Linked DNA regions of Rattus norvegicus. The main gene of each other region encodes a partner of the protein of the gene in region 2 in a complex. Links are inferred from orthologs where the notes say so. Each region holds a gene or a part of one and is shown on either strand. Other genes may lie near its edges.

The links.
Region 1: the proteins of Wdr59 (region 2) and Mios are in contact, whole or in part, in a cryo-EM structure (PDB 7UHY), measured with the Homo sapiens proteins. The link is inferred for Rattus norvegicus from reciprocal best matches to the Homo sapiens genes WDR59 and MIOS. Residues at the interface, in NP_085058.3 of Homo sapiens: Tyr871, Arg876, Glu877, Arg879, Ala880, Glu881, Leu883, Lys884, Pro889, Pro890, His893, Lys894, Gly895, Ile896, Glu897, Phe898, Gly899, Val900, Tyr901, Arg906, Glu908, Val909, Arg910, Thr912, Phe922, Gln923, Ala925, Ile926, Cys927, His928; in NP_001357005.1 of Homo sapiens: Asp705, Trp710, His711, Arg713, Ala714, Ile718, Ser721, Lys728, Pro729, Leu730, Ala731, Gln732, Val733, Phe734, Val735, Ser736, Cys737, Asn738, Phe739, Ile744, Lys780, Pro781, Leu782, Pro783, Leu787, Cys788, Leu789, Gly793, Pro795, Gln819.
Region 3: the proteins of Wdr59 (region 2) and Sec13 are in contact, whole or in part, in a cryo-EM structure (PDB 7UHY), measured with the Homo sapiens proteins. The link is inferred for Rattus norvegicus from reciprocal best matches to the Homo sapiens genes WDR59 and SEC13. Residues at the interface, in NP_085058.3 of Homo sapiens: Ala525, Tyr526, Gly527, Asp531, Ala532, Asn533, Ile534, Pro535, Phe536, Pro537, Arg538, Thr539, Ser540, Gly541, Ala542, Arg543, Phe544, Cys545, Gly546, Ala547, Tyr549, Val551, Phe553, Thr554, Arg555, Met557, Ala644, Gly645, Lys646, Val647; in NP_899195.1 of Homo sapiens: Val4, Ile5, Asn6, Thr7, Val8, Asp9, Thr10, His12, Asp14, Met15, Ile16, His17, Asp18, Ala19, Gln20, Met21, Asp22, Tyr23, Tyr24, Gly25, Leu28, Val42, Pro59, Trp61, Gln62, His67, Pro68, Tyr79, Ser105, Asn107.
Region 4: the proteins of Wdr59 (region 2) and Seh1l are in contact, whole or in part, in a cryo-EM structure (PDB 7UHY), measured with the Homo sapiens proteins. The link is inferred for Rattus norvegicus from reciprocal best matches to the Homo sapiens genes WDR59 and SEH1L. Residues at the interface, in NP_085058.3 of Homo sapiens: Pro713, Asp714, Glu716, Thr717, Pro718, Arg721, Arg837, Glu840, Gln843, His844, Asn847; in NP_112493.2 of Homo sapiens: Asn308, Tyr309, Met310, Asn312, Lys314.

Annotation. Positions count from the first base shown.
Region 1 is NC_086022.1:37,247,072-37,250,992, forward strand, and holds part of Mios (GATOR complex protein MIOS), read left to right. Parts: intron 1-655; coding exon 656-814; intron 815-3,921. UniProt on the Homo sapiens protein: As a component of the GATOR2 complex, functions as an activator of the amino acid-sensing branch of the mTORC1 signaling pathway. The GATOR2 complex indirectly activates mTORC1 through the inhibition of the GATOR1 subcomplex.
Region 2 is NC_086037.1:56,390,261-56,394,810, reverse strand, and holds the start of Wdr59 (GATOR2 complex protein WDR59), read left to right. Parts: upstream 1-1,615; 5' UTR 1,616-1,864; coding exon 1,865-1,918; exon of another isoform or gene 1,919-1,925; intron 1,926-4,550. UniProt on the Homo sapiens protein: As a component of the GATOR2 complex, functions as an activator of the amino acid-sensing branch of the mTORC1 signaling pathway. The GATOR2 complex indirectly activates mTORC1 through the inhibition of the GATOR1 subcomplex.
Region 3 is NC_086022.1:148,443,608-148,447,964, reverse strand, and holds the start of Sec13 (protein SEC13 homolog), read left to right. Parts: upstream 1-1,229; 5' UTR 1,230-1,261; coding exon 1,262-1,264; intron 1,265-4,067; coding exon 4,068-4,112; intron 4,113-4,357. UniProt on the Homo sapiens protein: Functions as a component of the nuclear pore complex (NPC) and the COPII coat. At the endoplasmic reticulum, SEC13 is involved in the biogenesis of COPII-coated vesicles.
Region 4 is NC_086036.1:63,623,124-63,627,044, forward strand, and holds part of Seh1l (nucleoporin SEH1), read left to right. Parts: intron 1-1,643; coding exon 1,644-1,790; intron 1,791-2,890; coding exon 2,891-3,102; intron 3,103-3,921. UniProt on the Homo sapiens protein: Component of the Nup107-160 subcomplex of the nuclear pore complex (NPC). The Nup107-160 subcomplex is required for the assembly of a functional NPC.

The DNA.
Region 1 (3,921 bases), on a different chromosome or scaffold from region 2:
ACAGGAACCGTTTTCAGTATATTCACACTTACCTGCTGCCTCTGAGGGTAGTGAGGATGGAATGCACACAGATGGCTAGCGGTGCTGTAAATAGTGACAGGTGATAGGGAAATGTGGAGGAATGCAGGCTGGAGTTTGCATGGGATGAAGTGAGACTGTGGAAAGGAAATAGTTTTTATTGATGATTATAAACATATAGTTCTGATTCTGTGATACTGTTATATACTACCATAATAGACAAGAACTTGCTGAAAAGAGGACATTTCTCTCATTAGCCACCTATAAACATAGGAAATGTCCTACAGTTTTTTAAGTGATTGTGGGAACTAGGGAGATAGCACTGTCATTAAGGTGCTCACTGTGCAAGTTCAAGGCACCTGAATTGAATCCCCTAGAGCCCGTGAAAAACCTGAGTACAGCATTGTGTACTTGTCCTAGGGCACACATGCCACACAAAACTAAATTGATTGTGGATAGATACTATATTGAAACTTGAAATTGATGTAGACTTCTCAGCACATATTAGAGTTTGGCAAGGGTTTCTGACCTAAAATCATTTCCATCAAGAATAAAATTGTTCTAAATATAGTAATTCTCAGCTATAAAATATGTAGTGAAACAGATTGTATCAGAACAATCACTATGAATTTTTCAGTTAAATAAATACATTGAAAAGCTGACCAATGAAATGAAAGAGGCTGGGAATTTGGAAGGCATCTTGCTGACCGGCCTCACTAAAGATGGAGTGGACCTGATGGAGAGTTATGTGGACAGAACTGGAGATGTCCAAACAGCAAGCTACTGCATGTTACAGGTTAGTGTGGGGTGACACTGGCTTCAAAAAACCCGGCCTCATTCCACATGATCCGTGTTTCCTCACTAAAGGCCATATGCTCCCCCCTACACATGGATTTTGAGTTTGCACTTTGACTGCATCGTTCTGTTGACAGTGTGTTTCATCTTACTGGCCCTAATCACCTCATTAGCTTATCCAGGTTTTTCTTGTAGTCCGAAATACCGGTCTTGGCTGTGTCTGAGTTCATGGAAAGCTCAGGTGGAGGCAGAGAAACTTCTCTCTAAGGGCTCATATCCGAGTCTAACCCAGCTTCCATAAAGGACTCCCTGGCCTGATCTGAACAGTGGTTTTGGTTTCATTTGAATGGAAGAAGAGAAGTTATACTTGAGTTCTTTTACTCCCCAGTGTCCATTTTATTACCAGCAGAGTAATTTGAATAACTAGTTCATCAACATTTTTTTCATTGCTTTACCTGTTCAGTGGTTAAACCAGATTCCAGGAAAAGGTTACTTAATACTTTACTTTTGTGTGAGAACATAAATCCATCCAGTGTGTCACTGCTATGACACATAGTTGGCCTCCAGCTGGTCTTAGCCTTTTTTGTTAGGAGTGCCTCACTCCTTGGTGCCTTAGTCCTTTTGTATGAAAGCCTGCTTTATGTTGATGAACAAACTGAAATGTGTTTACCCCACTCCCTTTCTCTGTGCTTTCCTGTGAACTTACGTAATGCTAGCTCAAAATGCAGTCTGCTTATATAAGGTATCAAGCCACCACTTGTGAGAAAGGGTTTGCCTCCATACAATTTTCTCATTGGGATGAGTTTTTGTCTCTAAAATCAACTGCTGATATATGGCTACAGAGTGCAGATGGGTTGGTAAGAGCACAATTTGTAAAATGTTGTTAAAATGCAGACAGTACGTAAAGTGAGTGACCTTTTAAAAAGTCTAGTATGATAATGGCTTTATTTTAGTTGGGATGCTTTTTTTTTCCTTGTATGTGGCCAAGGTTAACTCCACCATCATGCTGTTTTCATTTTGTTTGTCCTCTTTCCTTTTGTTCCTTTGTTCCCCCACCTTATTTTGTATCAGTTTTTTATTTCATCTTAATTCTTTATTGTCATTTAGCTGTATCCTTTTTACTGGTTTTTGCCAAAGCTGGTGCTTTGTCTCACAGTGTGCATCCTGAACTCCTCAGAATCACATTCCCCTCAGACTGCATTTCAGACCCGGCATGCTGTAATGCCTGTCTTTTTCCTACCACACATCCAGCACTGAATTTTCTCACACTTTGCATTTCACAGGTGTTTTAACAGTGCAATTTCATTGGTGCACCTTTTCTTTGTGCAGAGATCACATATTTTAATCTATATAGAGTCTAAGCCCCAAAGTACATTGTTACTTTTGCTTTAGGCAATGATTTGTCTGTTCTATAAATTAGAAGATTACAGACTTTTTATTTAATTAGTGTTCCTGGTGTCTGTTCTTCCTGTGGATCGGAGCTTAATCTTATTTCATCACCTTGTTTATTCTCTAGCATTTCTTGTAATACAGGTGACTGTCCTGGCTTTTTAACAGAAGCATCTAGTTTATCTTAGTTTTTCCTGCAGCACTTTAAAGAAGTGCTTCATCTTCTTCTGCCTCCTTTGATTCTGTTGAGAAATCAGCTCTCTTCCTTGTTTCCTGTATGTGGTGTTTTACCTTACCATGGATTTCTTTCAAGAAGCCCCCTTTCTCAGAAAAAAATGACACCTTTGTACCCAGTTACAGTTCTTTTGCATCATGTGTACTGGTTGCTGAGCTTCTTGGCTCTCTCAATTAACATTTTTCATCAGGTTTGGGGTGGTTTGTATATTATTTCTGTGTATCGTTCTCTTTTCCATACTTGCTCCTTTTTTCCTTCATTTTATTCTGCATATAGTAAATAAGTTTTACTCAGAGCTTAGGGTTCTGTTCATTTTCTTTCTTCTTTTTATTATTTACTTTCCTCTCTTCAGTTGGACAATTTCTTTTCTTCTCCTTTTGTTTTGCTTTGAGACAGGGTTTCATTGTTAACCCTGGCTGGCCCAGGATTGGCTTTGCAGGCCAGGCTGGGATCACAGACTGTGCCTCTGAGTGCTGAGTGACTTGGAATGCTTCCATGCCAGCTTCAGTTAGACAGTTAATGCTGGTTTGTTTATTTGTTCTCTCTACACTGGCTTTGGCCATTAAACTAGCCAGGGAATTTTTTTCTCCCACGTCCAAAAGTACTTTTAAAATTAGTTATTTAAGTTAACATACAAAGTAATGGACTTCTCTGTGGTAACTGCATAATTTGTTTTAATTTATGCATTGTTCTAAATCATCCCCCTTTGTTGCATTTTTTTCTGATCTGTTCTTTCTAGTATTGAGGCAATTCCTAATTTCAGTTATTTTCCATTTCAAACATAGAATGTCAGCTTTGTTATAGATTACATTTCTCAGGTTAGATTCTTTATTTACTCACTAGTTGAAGGGGTTATTTTCCATGAGTCTGTAATATTTTTCTTTGAGCTTATTTCTTTGAATGTGCTACATCCTGAATTAAAGATTTTGACTGCCGACTCTGACACTAAAACCGTTTTAGAGATATTCTTACTGTCTAGAATTGATGTTCTGATGAGAACTGTAAACTTAAGGAAAACCAATGCTTGCTTCGTACTAGTGCCTATGTGCACTTCACATTTAAAGTACTCAAAAGCAGCATTTCACTACCAGATTTGAAGCCAGGCTCAGTATTGGTTTAAATGTTATTAAGTAGTTTTGATGTACAATTTGGATACATTATAAGCAGAGATTTTGAATCCATAAGTTTTAGTACTTAGAACAAAAGGTTTTCTCATCACGATTAACTACATTATCAATAAAAGTGGGTTAACTACATTATCAATAAAAGTGGATTAACTACATTATCAATAAAAGTGGATCATTTGCTGCTTGCTCCTTAAACTCAAAAGAGATTTTGCTTCCTGGTCAAGTATTTATACAATGTGCATGCTTATATCTCTAGTGAGGCCCAGTTAAAGATGTATTCACCAGGTTTTCATTGATTTATTCAGATCCTCATTAGGATAGAAGTTTGTGAAGTCTATTACTTCTGAGTTATTCAGA
Region 2 (4,550 bases):
CCACCCCCACCCCCACCCATACCCTCCTTCCTACACACACGCGCGCACACACACACACACACACACACACACACACACACACTTAAAAATTAAATAGCCAAAACAAATCTTTTAAAACAGAGTCACATAAAAGTACTTGAATCGTCTGGAGGTTACTACTTTCGGTTGCACAGAGTACCCCTCTGACTTACAAAGGTCTGCGGGACCATCTGCTGCTCTCATTCACCCAGGGCAAACATGCATGGAGCAGCCTGTATATGCAGTAACAAGCAGATTTCAACAAAACAGTCCAGGGACCCGTCTGAAGCTTGGAAATAATAAATAATTATTGAATTAATGAATCCAGAAAGAATCCAACTGGGACACACTCACTCTTTACATTGAGAGTCTGCTCCCCGTGATTTCAAAGCAAATGTTCTTATCCAGTAAGCCATCTCCCTCTAAGCCTGCAATAGTTTTTGTTTGTTTTGTTTCATTTTCAAGACATGGTTTCTCTGTGTAGCCCAGGCTGTCCTGTTCCATTTTTTGGTACCGAGGTGTTTTCTGGGATGCAAGATTTTTTTTTTTTTTTTTTTTTTTTTGCTGGTTATAGTGGTAAAACCTGGACTGTTCCAGGCAGGTGACAGTGAGATGACAGTCACCCTATCCTACAGACAAGTTTGTCTGACCTTTCTAACAAGCATCTCAGGGGCAAAGGAGCCAATACCTTCTCTCCGCTCATGCAACGATTTGCAGAGAGGAATACCAATAATAGTTTATACTTGAGCCTTTACAACGTGCCGGGCCTTACAACAGCTAAATAAGACAGTACATTTCTACTTCAGGAGAGAATGTGATGCTAAACCAGGTAACCCGGGATTTCAAAAGATAGGATTGAAGCGAAGCCAACTGTTACCTACTATGCTGAACCTTCCTGATATTTTTTATTTCATCCTCAAAAATTATCTAAGACTCCAAAAACTGTTTGTGTGGATAAAGGTATTGACAGTATTAGAAATTAAAGCCATGAATAAAAAAAAATATGGTTAAATGGTAAGTATCATTAACATCTTCAGTGAAAAAAATAAGTTTCCAAAACCAAACGATGTTATCAAAAAGAGTGGCAAGTCGTTTAATATTCAGTCTAAACAACCTCTCTGAGTACATTCCCTATGTACCACACAGCCTCGGGAGAACTGTACAGCACACTGGTGAGAGAAAATGAAAGTAACGTGTTAATATGATTATGAAATTGTTTTACCTTTAGGGACTTGCCCCCCCCCCCCCCCGTCCCCTCTCCCCAAGTGTTGCGGAGAACCTCGGAGCTTCGATATGTAAGAGGCATGGCTGTACAACATGAAACAATGAATTGTGAACTCAAATTTTTCAAAGCCTTGATGAGAGGTATCAGAAGAAGTTATTTTACTTTGGTACGGATGTCGGTCCTGTTTATACGCTGTATGTAGTAGAATACGGGGGATACCATCCAACTACCAGCAAGACAGGACCGCCGGCGGCGTCTGCTCTCTAAACTCAGGCTCTTACTGGGTAACTGACGCTGACCTGACATTTGACTACAATTCCCGGCAGAGCTCACGGCAGGGGGCGTGTCAGCAGTGGGGTGCCCGGGTGACTCGTACTGATGACGAAATGAAGGGGCGTTCCTGTTTTTGGAGGCAGGTCTGGTCCCTGGTTGGGGGAGAAAACAGAAGAGGCGGGATCTATCATCGGAGTAGCCAATGCGTTGCGGTCAAGTGAAAGGCAGGGAACGAGGCGTGGCCGGATTTATTAGCTGGCTGTGTGGGGCTTACTAACCTAGGGAGTCTCGGGTCTTGGGGTCGGGGTGGAGGGTCGCCGACTGGCACCCCACGGTCGGGCTTGTGAGATGGCAGCGCGCTGGAGCAGCGAGAACGTGGTGGTGGAGTTTCGGGACTCTCAGGTGAGCTGTGCGTAAATGGAGCCGTCTGAGCATGCGCTTTCCGTGGTTTACACCCCCAAGACCCCCCACCCCGCCTTTTCATCCATCCCTTTGCTCAAGGTGGGGAGATGGACATGGTGCTCACCCGGAGCTGTCAGAGCCAGGATAGCCTAGGGAAGCTTTGATTACTAATCAGGACAGTTAGGGCAGGCATGTATGGCCTTTAGGGTTTCACAAGTGCTCATGGTCTTGGAACACCGAAATACCGATAGTAAATGCTGAAGGGATTCTTCCCTTGTACAAGGTAATGAGCTGGGGGAGGTGTCCACTCCCTGAGGTAGTCGACTGCTCTTGGTGACTTCAGGAAAGTTGCAGAACTTCTCTGAACCTCAGTTACTTGAACCAATCTCGCCTACCATTTGTGGGTTGAATTTGCGAAATACTGTTTTGCAGAGCATCTGTTCCAACCTACTAAGTGATTGCTAAAGGAGACAAAATACATGTATTGCTTGGATTGGACACCCCTGTGGCCCATCCCTGACGTCACGCTTTACACATCAGTTTTCTTACCTGTAGAAGGGAGATTATTATACTTACAGGTCTGGCGTGAGGTCACATGATTAAGACGTGTGTCGCACGGCAAGCTTCAAAAATTGTTAACATTGGGGGCCCACAAGGTGACTGGCAAGGTCACTGCTGCCTAGGCTGCCAACCTGAGTTCAATCTCCAGAACCCGCAAGCCAGGAAGAATAGCTCCCATACATCATCCTCTTTCCTCCGTCCACAGGCTGTGGCACATGTACGCACAGTAAATAAATGAACAATAAAAAAATGAAAATGATATCTTTTTTAAAATGTTAGCATTGAGCTCTTGAAGCGTTTCAGTTATTGGCCGATTGGCCTGTCAGCTTTAGTCCCACCCCAGGACCCATGTGGCAGAAGGACAGAGCCAGCTTCCACAAGTTGTTCTTTGACCTCCACACATACTGTATGGAGGTCACACACTCACACACACACACACACACACACACACACACACACACTAAATAAAAAAACTAAAAATTAAAAGAAGTTTGTATTGACTGAATAGTTTAATTATTTTTTCCTTTCTTTAAGTTAAAATAAAACATTATAGTGAGTGATGTGTGTGGGTGCGTAGGGATCAGAGGACAACACTGGGGAGTCTATACTCTTCTACTGTGGGACCTAAGCTTAGGTCAACAGCCATTATCTTGCAACTTTACACTGTGGGTCGTCTTGAAGGTATCCATTTAAAATTTTAGGTGTATGGTTGTTTTGGCTGTTTATATGGAAATCATTTGCATGTCTAGTGACTGCTGAGGCCAGAATCTCCTGGATCTAGAGATACAAACAGTGGTTAGCCTCCATGTGGATGCTGGAAATCTAGCCTGTGTGCTCTGGAAGAGGGCCGTCTCTCCAGCCAGTAATCCCTTCGCACCCCACACTTTCTTTTTTGAGACAGGGTCTCATATGTAGCTCTGGCTCTCTTGGAAGTCATTATGCAGACCAGGCAGGCCTCAGACTCAGAGAGATCCTCCTGCCTCTGTCTTCCGAGACTAGGGGTTAGAGGCATGCACTAGGACTCTTTTTTTTTTTTTTTTCTTTTTTTCCGGAGCTGGGGACTGAACCCAGGGCCTTGTGCTTGCTAGGCAAGCGCTCTACCCCTTGGACTAAATCCCCAACCCCACTAGGACTCTTTTGAGACAGGATTCCATGTACCCAAGGTTAACTTTGAGCCTGGCGTGTAGCTAAGGAGACCTTGAACTTTTGGTCCTCTTGCCTGTTCCTCCTGAGCACTGAGGTCATAGGTGTGCACCACCACACACAGTTTTGAGCAGTGCCTTAGGCTCCATGCATGCTACACTGACTGAGCTGAGCTATATTTTTATCATTTTTCTGTATTGAGTCTTCCATGTGCCAGGCTTCATGCTAGGCAGTGTATCTGTGTTTTCTTTTTCTACTTGATGAAAGAGCCCTGCAGGCTAAGTAGCTATTATTCTTTTCTACCAAAAGAGGAGGCTGATCCCTCATTGGCTGATCTTGAGAGACTTGTCTAGGGCCTACTGTATGTGGCTGGTGGCCACGGGGATTTGTACAGTCTCTGGCCCCAGAGCCCATAATGCTACTTCATCTCTTAATAGCTTATAATGTGTCACACATAGGTTCATAATAAATATCATGTCTTCCTTTCCTGATACCTAGGACATTTCTTCTCAAGTTTTTTCATTTCCTCAACAAATATTTATTGAGTACTTTCTTATATGTTTGGTTGTAATCTAGCCTTTAATGGCTGCGCCATCCCTCCATCCTTAAATACTTTCTCTGGGTCAGACTTTTATTCACCTATTTATTTATTTATTCAATAAGGATTTATTTATTTCAGTTTTTGTGTTTTTATGTGTGTGGTGGCAAGTACATGTGTATGTATGTTTTGCATGTGTATACACATGTGTCTCAGGGTTTCTGTTGCCATGAAGAGACCATGACCATGACAACTCTTACAAAGAAAAATATTTAGTTGAGAAATTCTAATTGACTTGCTGTTCAGAGGTTTAGTCCATTACCATCATGGTGGGAAATGAAGGCAGACGTGGTGCTAGAGAAGGAATGAAGAGTTCTACATTCAGATCAG
Region 3 (4,357 bases), on a different chromosome or scaffold from region 2:
CTGGGCCACTTGGCTTCTAAGAGGGAAATGGGACCACATGCATCTGAAGAGCTGTCCTGGAGGTCTTCATCCCCCTTAAACAGCTGTATAAGCACAAAAGCTAAGGACAAGAGGTTGAGGGTTTTCCAGTTGCTCTCCCTTAAAACAGACTCCCAGAGATTAAGAGACTCTGTCTTGCCATCCCTTAAGAAAGCTGGTGCATTTACATGTACTATCATATCATCTGCTAATAGTGAAACGTTGACTTCTTCCTTTCCAGTTTGTATTCCTCTGTTTTGTATCTCATTTACTTATCTTTTTGCTCTAGGTAGAATGTCAAATACTATTTTGAATAGATAGGGAGAGAGTGCGCAGCCTTGTTTTGTCCCTGAATTTAGTGGAATTGCTTTACCCATCAACGTAATTCACCATATAAACAAACTGAAAAAACCCACATGATCATCTGATTAGATAATGAAAAAGCCTGGGGTTGGGGATTTAGCTCAGCGGTAGAGCGCCTACCTAACAAGCACAAGGTCCTGGGTTCGGTCCCCAGCTCTGAAAAAAAAAAAAAAAATTAAAGAAAAAGCCTTTGACAATATCCAATCCCCCTTCATGCTAAAAGTCTTTAAGGGATCCGGGATACAAGGTCCATACCTAAACGTAATAAGGCAATATACAGCAAGCCAATAGCCAACATTAAATTAAATGGAAAGCAAGACCTAACAAAGCACTAGCCCAGTCTACTTGAGAAATTAACCTCAACAACGGTCATGATGAGCCAGTAGGACCCAGAGCCCACAGAAAAGGAGGGTGAAGCTGTAACCGCTCGTCATTTCATGTATACATCTCAGGAACCAGAAAATTTTAGTCTAAATAGAAAACCTGCTAGTTAGAAAGAAAGAGAGAAAGAAAGAAAGAAAGAAAGAAAGAAAGAAGGAAGGAAGGAAGGAAGGAAGGAAGGAAGGAAGGAAGGAAGGAAGGAAAGAAGGAAAGAAGGAAAGAAGGAAAGAAACCAAAAAACCTGCTAGTGACTGCTTCGAATTATAAAATCCCTGGATTAGGGTCACCACACCAACCATAGCCCTGCTGTTGGCCAAGATAAGGGCAGAGCTGCAGGAGGGCGGGGCCAAGGCTCCAGAAGACGCGGAACCTTTGTGTGAGTCGAGTGTGTTGCTAACCGGAAGCTCCTGGTAGACGGCCTGCCGGCTGCGGTCCGGCGCCGGAAGTGAAGCGTTCTGAGCTGCCACGTCCGAGGCTGTGAGTCGCCGCTGCTGTAGCTATGGTAAGTGATGCGGTCCCTGAGATAGTCGTGGTCTTGGAGCAGACCACCGCTACGACCTCAAGGTTTGCGTGTCCTGCCTCTTTAGGTCTCGGAGCGGGAGCTTAAGGCAAGGCCGCTGGGCCTTCCGGAACTCAGGGGCCCGGGCTGCTGAGTTACCTCCTGCCCATCCCGTGTCTTGTCCTCCAGAATTAGAAAAACAGCCAGAGCTATTATAGGATCTCCTGCCCAACTAGCCTTTAGTACGTTCCCACTATCGCACACATCCCCTCCCTGCGCTTAGCCTGCAGAACAGATGCTGCTTTCATCAACACTTGCGCTGGACAGTGGCAAGCTAAGATCCAAATTCTTCTAATCATCTTTCTAATCATCGGTCCTGCCACCTACTACCTCAGCAAAGGTGGTGGAGGGATCAGTTGCTTGGACACAGGACTCCAAAGTGTGATGGTCCCTTCGGGAAACTGATGGCAGGCCTAGTAGGGTGACTCTAGGGCATCGTCTCGGCTTTTTTATTTTTATTTTTGAACTTACATGGTATCAGTGGTATATCTTCACTCCCCCACCGCCACCCCCGAGACACTAAGTGAATGGAACTCTGAAGTCTTAGACCTTGCTTGGCACAGCGGTGCAAGGAGCTGCCTCCTTCTGTTGGCCTTTGGCTCTTCTGTTGCCAAGTTGGAGACTCATACACAAGTTCATTCTAAGTTTGTACCAGGTGTGATCCTGATGAGCTGAATTGTTTTGAGTGCTGCTTCTTACTGTATTGTAGTAAGCAAATAAGTGTCAGATGTTCCAGAGGACTGCTCCAAGGGCTTTAAAACACATAGCATCCCAAAGTGTGGATCATAGCCCATGGCCGCTGGTTGAGAGTGGCTGAAGGATGCCAACTTTCCAAGGTCCTACAGGCCACCAATATAAAATTACTTTTCCTTGAGCCAGTCCAGACTGTGGGGATTCTTGAGCACATCACCCACCTTCTAATATTAGTGTGCATTGGGGAGCAGGGTGTTAGAAGGTTAGTAGCTAGGTCTGTTGCCAGCAGTGTGGGTTTAGTAAGGATTTGTTTCTCTTCACTGGCACATTAACTTGCTTGGTTTTTCTGTTGACTATAATTGATTGCAGCTGGTACCTCTTGACGCTCAGGGGAAAATGTCATTGTCTGCAGGCAGGTGCTATTATTCCTCTTTGCAGACACTTTTTAGAGCATTTAGAATTTTCAAGGAAGCACGTACTTATTCAATGTGTGGCTTCTGAATGCCTTGTTGCCATACACTTCCTGGGTCTACCTTTCTGAAGAGTAGCCCAGGCTATTGTAGAATTCTTGACCCACTCTCTTGATCTTCCAGAGTATTAAGGACCTGCAACACCACACCTGCCTTGAGGAGTCAGGCTTTGTAACTGCCAAGTTTGCACTGGAAAAGATGACTTGTTGAAAATGTGAGAAATGTCGATCTCCAGTGGAAGCTACCTTTTCAGTCTACTTTTCTCTCCCCAAGAATTTAATAGTGGCTGAGCCAAGGGGGGGGAAATGTATATCTTTGCCCATTTATTAATTTAGTAGATAGCTACTGAGTCCCTCTGTCTGTAAAACATTCTGCTAAATAACTTAGATCTAAAGCTGAGGTATGTGATGGTGCCTTCCTTTAATCCCAGCACTCAATAAGATAAAAGCAGATAAATCTCAAGAGTTTGAGGGCAGCCTGGTCTATGTAGTGAGTTCTAGGCTAGCTAGACCTCTGTACTAAGACAGACAGACAGAATGTGTCAAAGCTACAGATAGTTTCAGGGAGCTTACCTTCTCCAGCAGAGAAGTAGCATAAAGTACTATAGCTGTCCATGGCTGTTGTGTATGTAAGAGTCTAGCTAGACAGGCCTTTCACAGTTCATAGTAGGCCAGAGAGTAGCCTCAGAAGCAACTAAAGTCAAATCTTGGTCTTGAATTATAACCTGTTCCACATAAACTGTCTGGGCCATCATCAGAATCACTTGTGATACTATAGCTGTCCATGGCTGTTGTGTATGTAAGAGTCTAGCTAGACAGGCCTTTCACAGTTCATAGTAGGCCAGAGAGTAGCCTCAGAAGCAACTAAAGTCAAATCTTGTTCTTGAATTATAACCTGTTCCACATAAACTGTCTGGGCCATCATCAGAATCACTTGTGATGCAGAAAGGGAATGTGAACTCTGTTCTTGCTTGATTCCACTGACCTCAAGGTCTAAGACTACCTTTGCCCATGGGATCCCTTCCTGCTTGGATTATATCTTCTTTCTGAGCAACAAGGTTCTCATCCCTTTTTTTTTTTTTCCAGAGCTGGGGATCGAACCCAGAGCCTTGCGCTTGCTAGGCAAGCGCTCTACCACTGAGCTAAATCCCCAACCCCAAGGTTCTCATCCCTTAAGGTAGCTGTGTATCCCTTTTATCTTGGACTCCTCCTACCCACGTAAACCACAGTATGGCTGATCTGGCTACTGGCAGGTTGTACACATGAGCTCCTCTGAGGCAAGAACTGCCACTCCACACTGTGCAGTCCTTCACACAGTACTCAGTACAAGAAGGTCTGGAGTAAAAATGCACATATGTAATCCTGGCATTTGGGAGGCTGAGGCAGAAGGATACTGAGTTCAACGCCAGACTGAACTACATAATGAGAGCAAGTCACATGAGAAAGAAAGAGTTTATAGAATGAGCATGCCAGTGAATGAGTGAGTGAATGGATGCCCGTAAGAATTTCAGAAACAATTGGTTCTTTAATGAGATGATTGTTGTGGCTACTATCACTGAATTCACAGAATGTCTTTGGTTCTAGGTGTCAGTAATTAACACTGTGGATACCTCTCATGAGGACATGATTGTAAGTATCCATTCAGCCCTTTTCCCGGGCCTCGTCATGGGCATTCCCCTCAGTGAGCATTTTGACTATATTAGCTCCCAGCAGGCCATAACCTCTGGGGGGTTAATCATTTTCCTACATGACCTCTGAGTTGGCAGTGTTTACAGTGGCCTATCTTTGCTGTGAGAACCTGGCTCTGTTGTACAGTTCAGGCCCTTCAGTCTTTGGCCAGTACAGTGCCTGCTCTAAGAGTAAGGCTGCAGAGG
Region 4 (3,921 bases), on a different chromosome or scaffold from region 2:
GGATGTGAAGGCGGGAAGAACAGAAGTTCTGGGTCATCCTTGGATACATAAGGAATTCTAAGCCCCCTGGGCTACATGAAAACACATGATAAAATAACAACAACAAAGAAACATTGAAGTGTGAGGTTTTGTAAGTGTAATGGGTAGAGTGATTGTTACATCATCTAACAAATTCCTTTCATGGTGAAATACATCAATCTGTTTTCTTTCTTGACAGCATGAGGACGCACAGTAGTAATATATGTCTATACAATGAAGTGCTCCTTAATGAGCTTTAAATTAGATGTATTCCTTGACTTAAATGGAGTTATTTACCAATAAACATAAATTAGGTTGTAAGTTGAAATGTTTCTAGCATATCCATCTTGCCTAGCATCCTGCATCAGTACAGCACACTCCGGATCCTTGGTTGATCCTGACTGATCAAGGGTTAGGGCTTCTTAGGTTTGAACTTAATGCTTTCATCCATAAAATAGTTTCTTGTTTAACTTCACATCAAATAATTTAACCATTTTGTTGTTACTTTTCTGTGTATTGTTTGCTTTTAAGATTTATTTTTATTTAAGAGTTTCCTGTCTATTTAGAAATACAGAGGAGTTGTTGGGGTCATCGCTCCGTTAGTACAATGCTTGCCCTACCATGCACAGAGCTCTGATTTGATTGGCAGTTGTGCAAAAACCAGATGTGGGCTCATGCCTGAAATCTTAGCATCAAGAGCTTGCAGTGTCCTCAGGGGACGGAAGGCATCAGATCCCTGGAAATGGAGCTACAGATTGTTGTGAACCACCATGTGGGTGCTGGGAACTGAACCCAAATCTTATGTGAGAGCAGCCACTACTCTCACCCGCTGAGCCATCTCTCCAGCTTTCTGTGTTAGCTCTTGAATCAAATAATTCTGCAATTGTGAGGACCCAAGTTTGGAACCACATAAAATGTGTGTGGGAGGCAGCTTGTTCTTGTAATCCCAGTGCTAGGGTGGTAAAGCCTAGAGGATCTACAGGAGCTGGCTGGCCAGCAAGTCTAGCCAATCAGTGAGCTCCAAGTTCAGTGAGAGAGATGGAGAAAACACGTGCATGTGTGTGTATGCACATGCACACATTCAAACTAAGGTAAAGATAATTTAAAAAGAATACTAACTCTAGGAGCTGATGAGATAGCTCAGCAGTTAAGAACACTGACTGCTCTTCCAGAGGTCTGGGATTCAGTTCCCAGCAACCACATAATGACTCATGCCACCTACAAAGGGATCTGATACCATCTTCTGGCGTATAGGTGTACATGTGGACAGAGCACTCATACATAAGAAAAGAAAAGAATAAATAAATAAATAAATAAATAAATAAATAAATAATCCTCTCCAAGTCCACTATTCTAAATATCTTCCAAAAGTTCTGTTTTTAGAAATTAACTTTCTATTTAAATGTTACATTGCTGTCTTTCTTGTCTTACTGAAGTAAAACTTACTTGTGTTCTATTATTTTTATTTATTTATTTTTTTCCGGAGCTGAGGACCGAATCCAGGGCCTTGCGCTCCCTAGGCAAGCGCTCTGCCACTGAGCTAAATCCCCAACCCCGTGTTCTATTATTTTTGCAAGTAAAATGATATGTGTGAAGTGAGTAAAATCAGTTTGCTTTTTAAACAGACACATAGTGGATCTGTATGGCGTGTGACATGGGCTCATCCTGAGTTTGGACAAGTTTTGGCTTCCTGTTCTTTTGACCGAACAGCAGCCGTATGGGAAGAAATAGTAGGAGAGTCAAACGATAAACTTCGAGGACAGAGTCACTGGGTAAGATGCGTTCCTGTTCCTTCTTCCATATTCTCCTGTTTGTTTCACTTTGGCTTGGCTTGCTAGGTCTTTCATTGTTCCAGTGGGGAAACCAAAGGATTTCTTTGTACCAGATTCTGTGTATTTTGTATGATTTGTATAGTAATTACTATATGGTTTTAGGCTTCTGGTTTGTAGTTATTTTGCAATGCCTGGGATTGAACCCAGGGCTTCGTGCACTATCACTGAGCTATATAGTCCAAGGTCCCCTTCCCTTCGCCTACTTTAAATTCTACCTCCGCCTTTGTCAGGTGATTTTACCTGTGTGCTGCTTAGATTCCTCAACTCTCTCTTTCTTTTTTTTTTTTCCGGAGCTGGGGACCGAACCCAGGGCCTTGCGCTTACCACTGAGCTAAATCCCCAACCCCAGATTCCTCAACTCTTAAAGAAGAGAATTAAACTAGATTATAAGTCCTTTCCACCACTTTTGTTGAAGTTTATTGTATGAAGTGTTTTATTTTCCTTTCAATTTCTTTTTCTCTTTTTTTTTCTTTTTTTTTCGGAGCTGTCAATTTACTTTTCTTAATAATCACACACAATATAAAATCCAAAGCTGTAAAAGGGTGTGTGCGTGCATCTTATCCTGCCTTCTGGTTCTGCTCTAAGGGTGTTTAGTCTGCGGGCGTTTGTCTTGTCTCTGGTGCAGTCCATTCCTTTACTGAAGCCGCAGAAGGCACAGGCCTTACGTTTACTATTAAAGGAGCCCACTTGGTTTGACTCACTGCTTGCAGCACACTTTGTATGACAGCTATGTGTACAAAAGTGTGAACATTTCTGGTGGTGACGAGTCTGCTCAGTGAGATTACTAACATAATACACGATGCTTTCTAAAGGCAGATTTTCTTCTCTCGTAAACTCATAACTGTTCATTAGTTTGTTATGAGATTGCATACGCAAAGTGCTTCCCTGGAAATAGAGACCAGGAGTGGCTTTAAGTTCCTGATGCAAGGATGAAAACCTAATAAATGGCGAGTTGTCTGTGTGATTCTAAAACATTTGTTCTTCAGATCCATCATATTTCTTTTTGTGTATGGTTTAAATTGTATTTTATATTTTTCCAGGTGAAAAGGACAACTCTAGTGGACAGCAGAACATCTGTTACAGATGTGAAATTTGCTCCCAAGCACATGGGTCTGATGTTAGCAACCTGCTCTGCAGATGGCATCGTGAGAGTCTACGAGGCCCCAGATGTGATGAACCTCAGCCAGTGGTCCCTGCAGCACGAGATCTCGTGTAAGCTGTGCTGCAGCTGCATTTCTTGGAACCCTTCCAGGTAAGCGCACGTCAAACCTTTGAAAGTCTTCCAAAGCAGGCGAGGGGTTTTTCAAGCTAAGAATTTACTGGCTTAATTTTTCAGATGCTTTTTGTAATACATAATATTATCTAGAAGAAAGTTTCCACTTTCCTATATCCATAAAATGGTGGAACCCATTCAGTATCAATAGTTGAGAACTTCTACAAAATTTTCTATGTAAATAAAAATAAATTAGAATATTTTTAAGAGACAGATCTGTGCAGAAATACCAACCCAAGAAGACATACTATACTCAGTCATGTGTAGAACTCATACATTTTCCTCAAGTTTCTTTTTCTCACAAAAAAATACTTGTGAATAAAATATGAAGACATTTTAGTATATAATTTATTTTAAAGCATCCAATTAATCCCTTAAACAATTAACTAATTGGAAGGATTGTCACCTTATTGCCTATGCTGGTCTAGAACTTGCTGTTGAACTTACTGTCCTGCTTCAGCCTCCTGAATGTTGACATAATAGAAAGACAGTCATCATATCCGTCTCTTCATTATTCCTGTTTAACGCTCCATGTTGAGTGCGATTGTATGACTATGCTGTGGTTGCTTTTAAAAGATTTTAAACAAAGCTATTACTTAATTTTATGTGTATGTCGGTGAACACATGTGTCTGGTGTCCTTGGAGGTGTGAAGTGGGTGTTGGATCCTTGTGACTGGAGTTACAGATTGTTGTGAGTCACCGTGTGGGTGCTTGGAATGAAACCTGGGTCCCCTGGAGGAGCAGCACACGTGATCGTAACAGCTGAGACATCTTTCCAGCACCCATATTTGCTTTCTG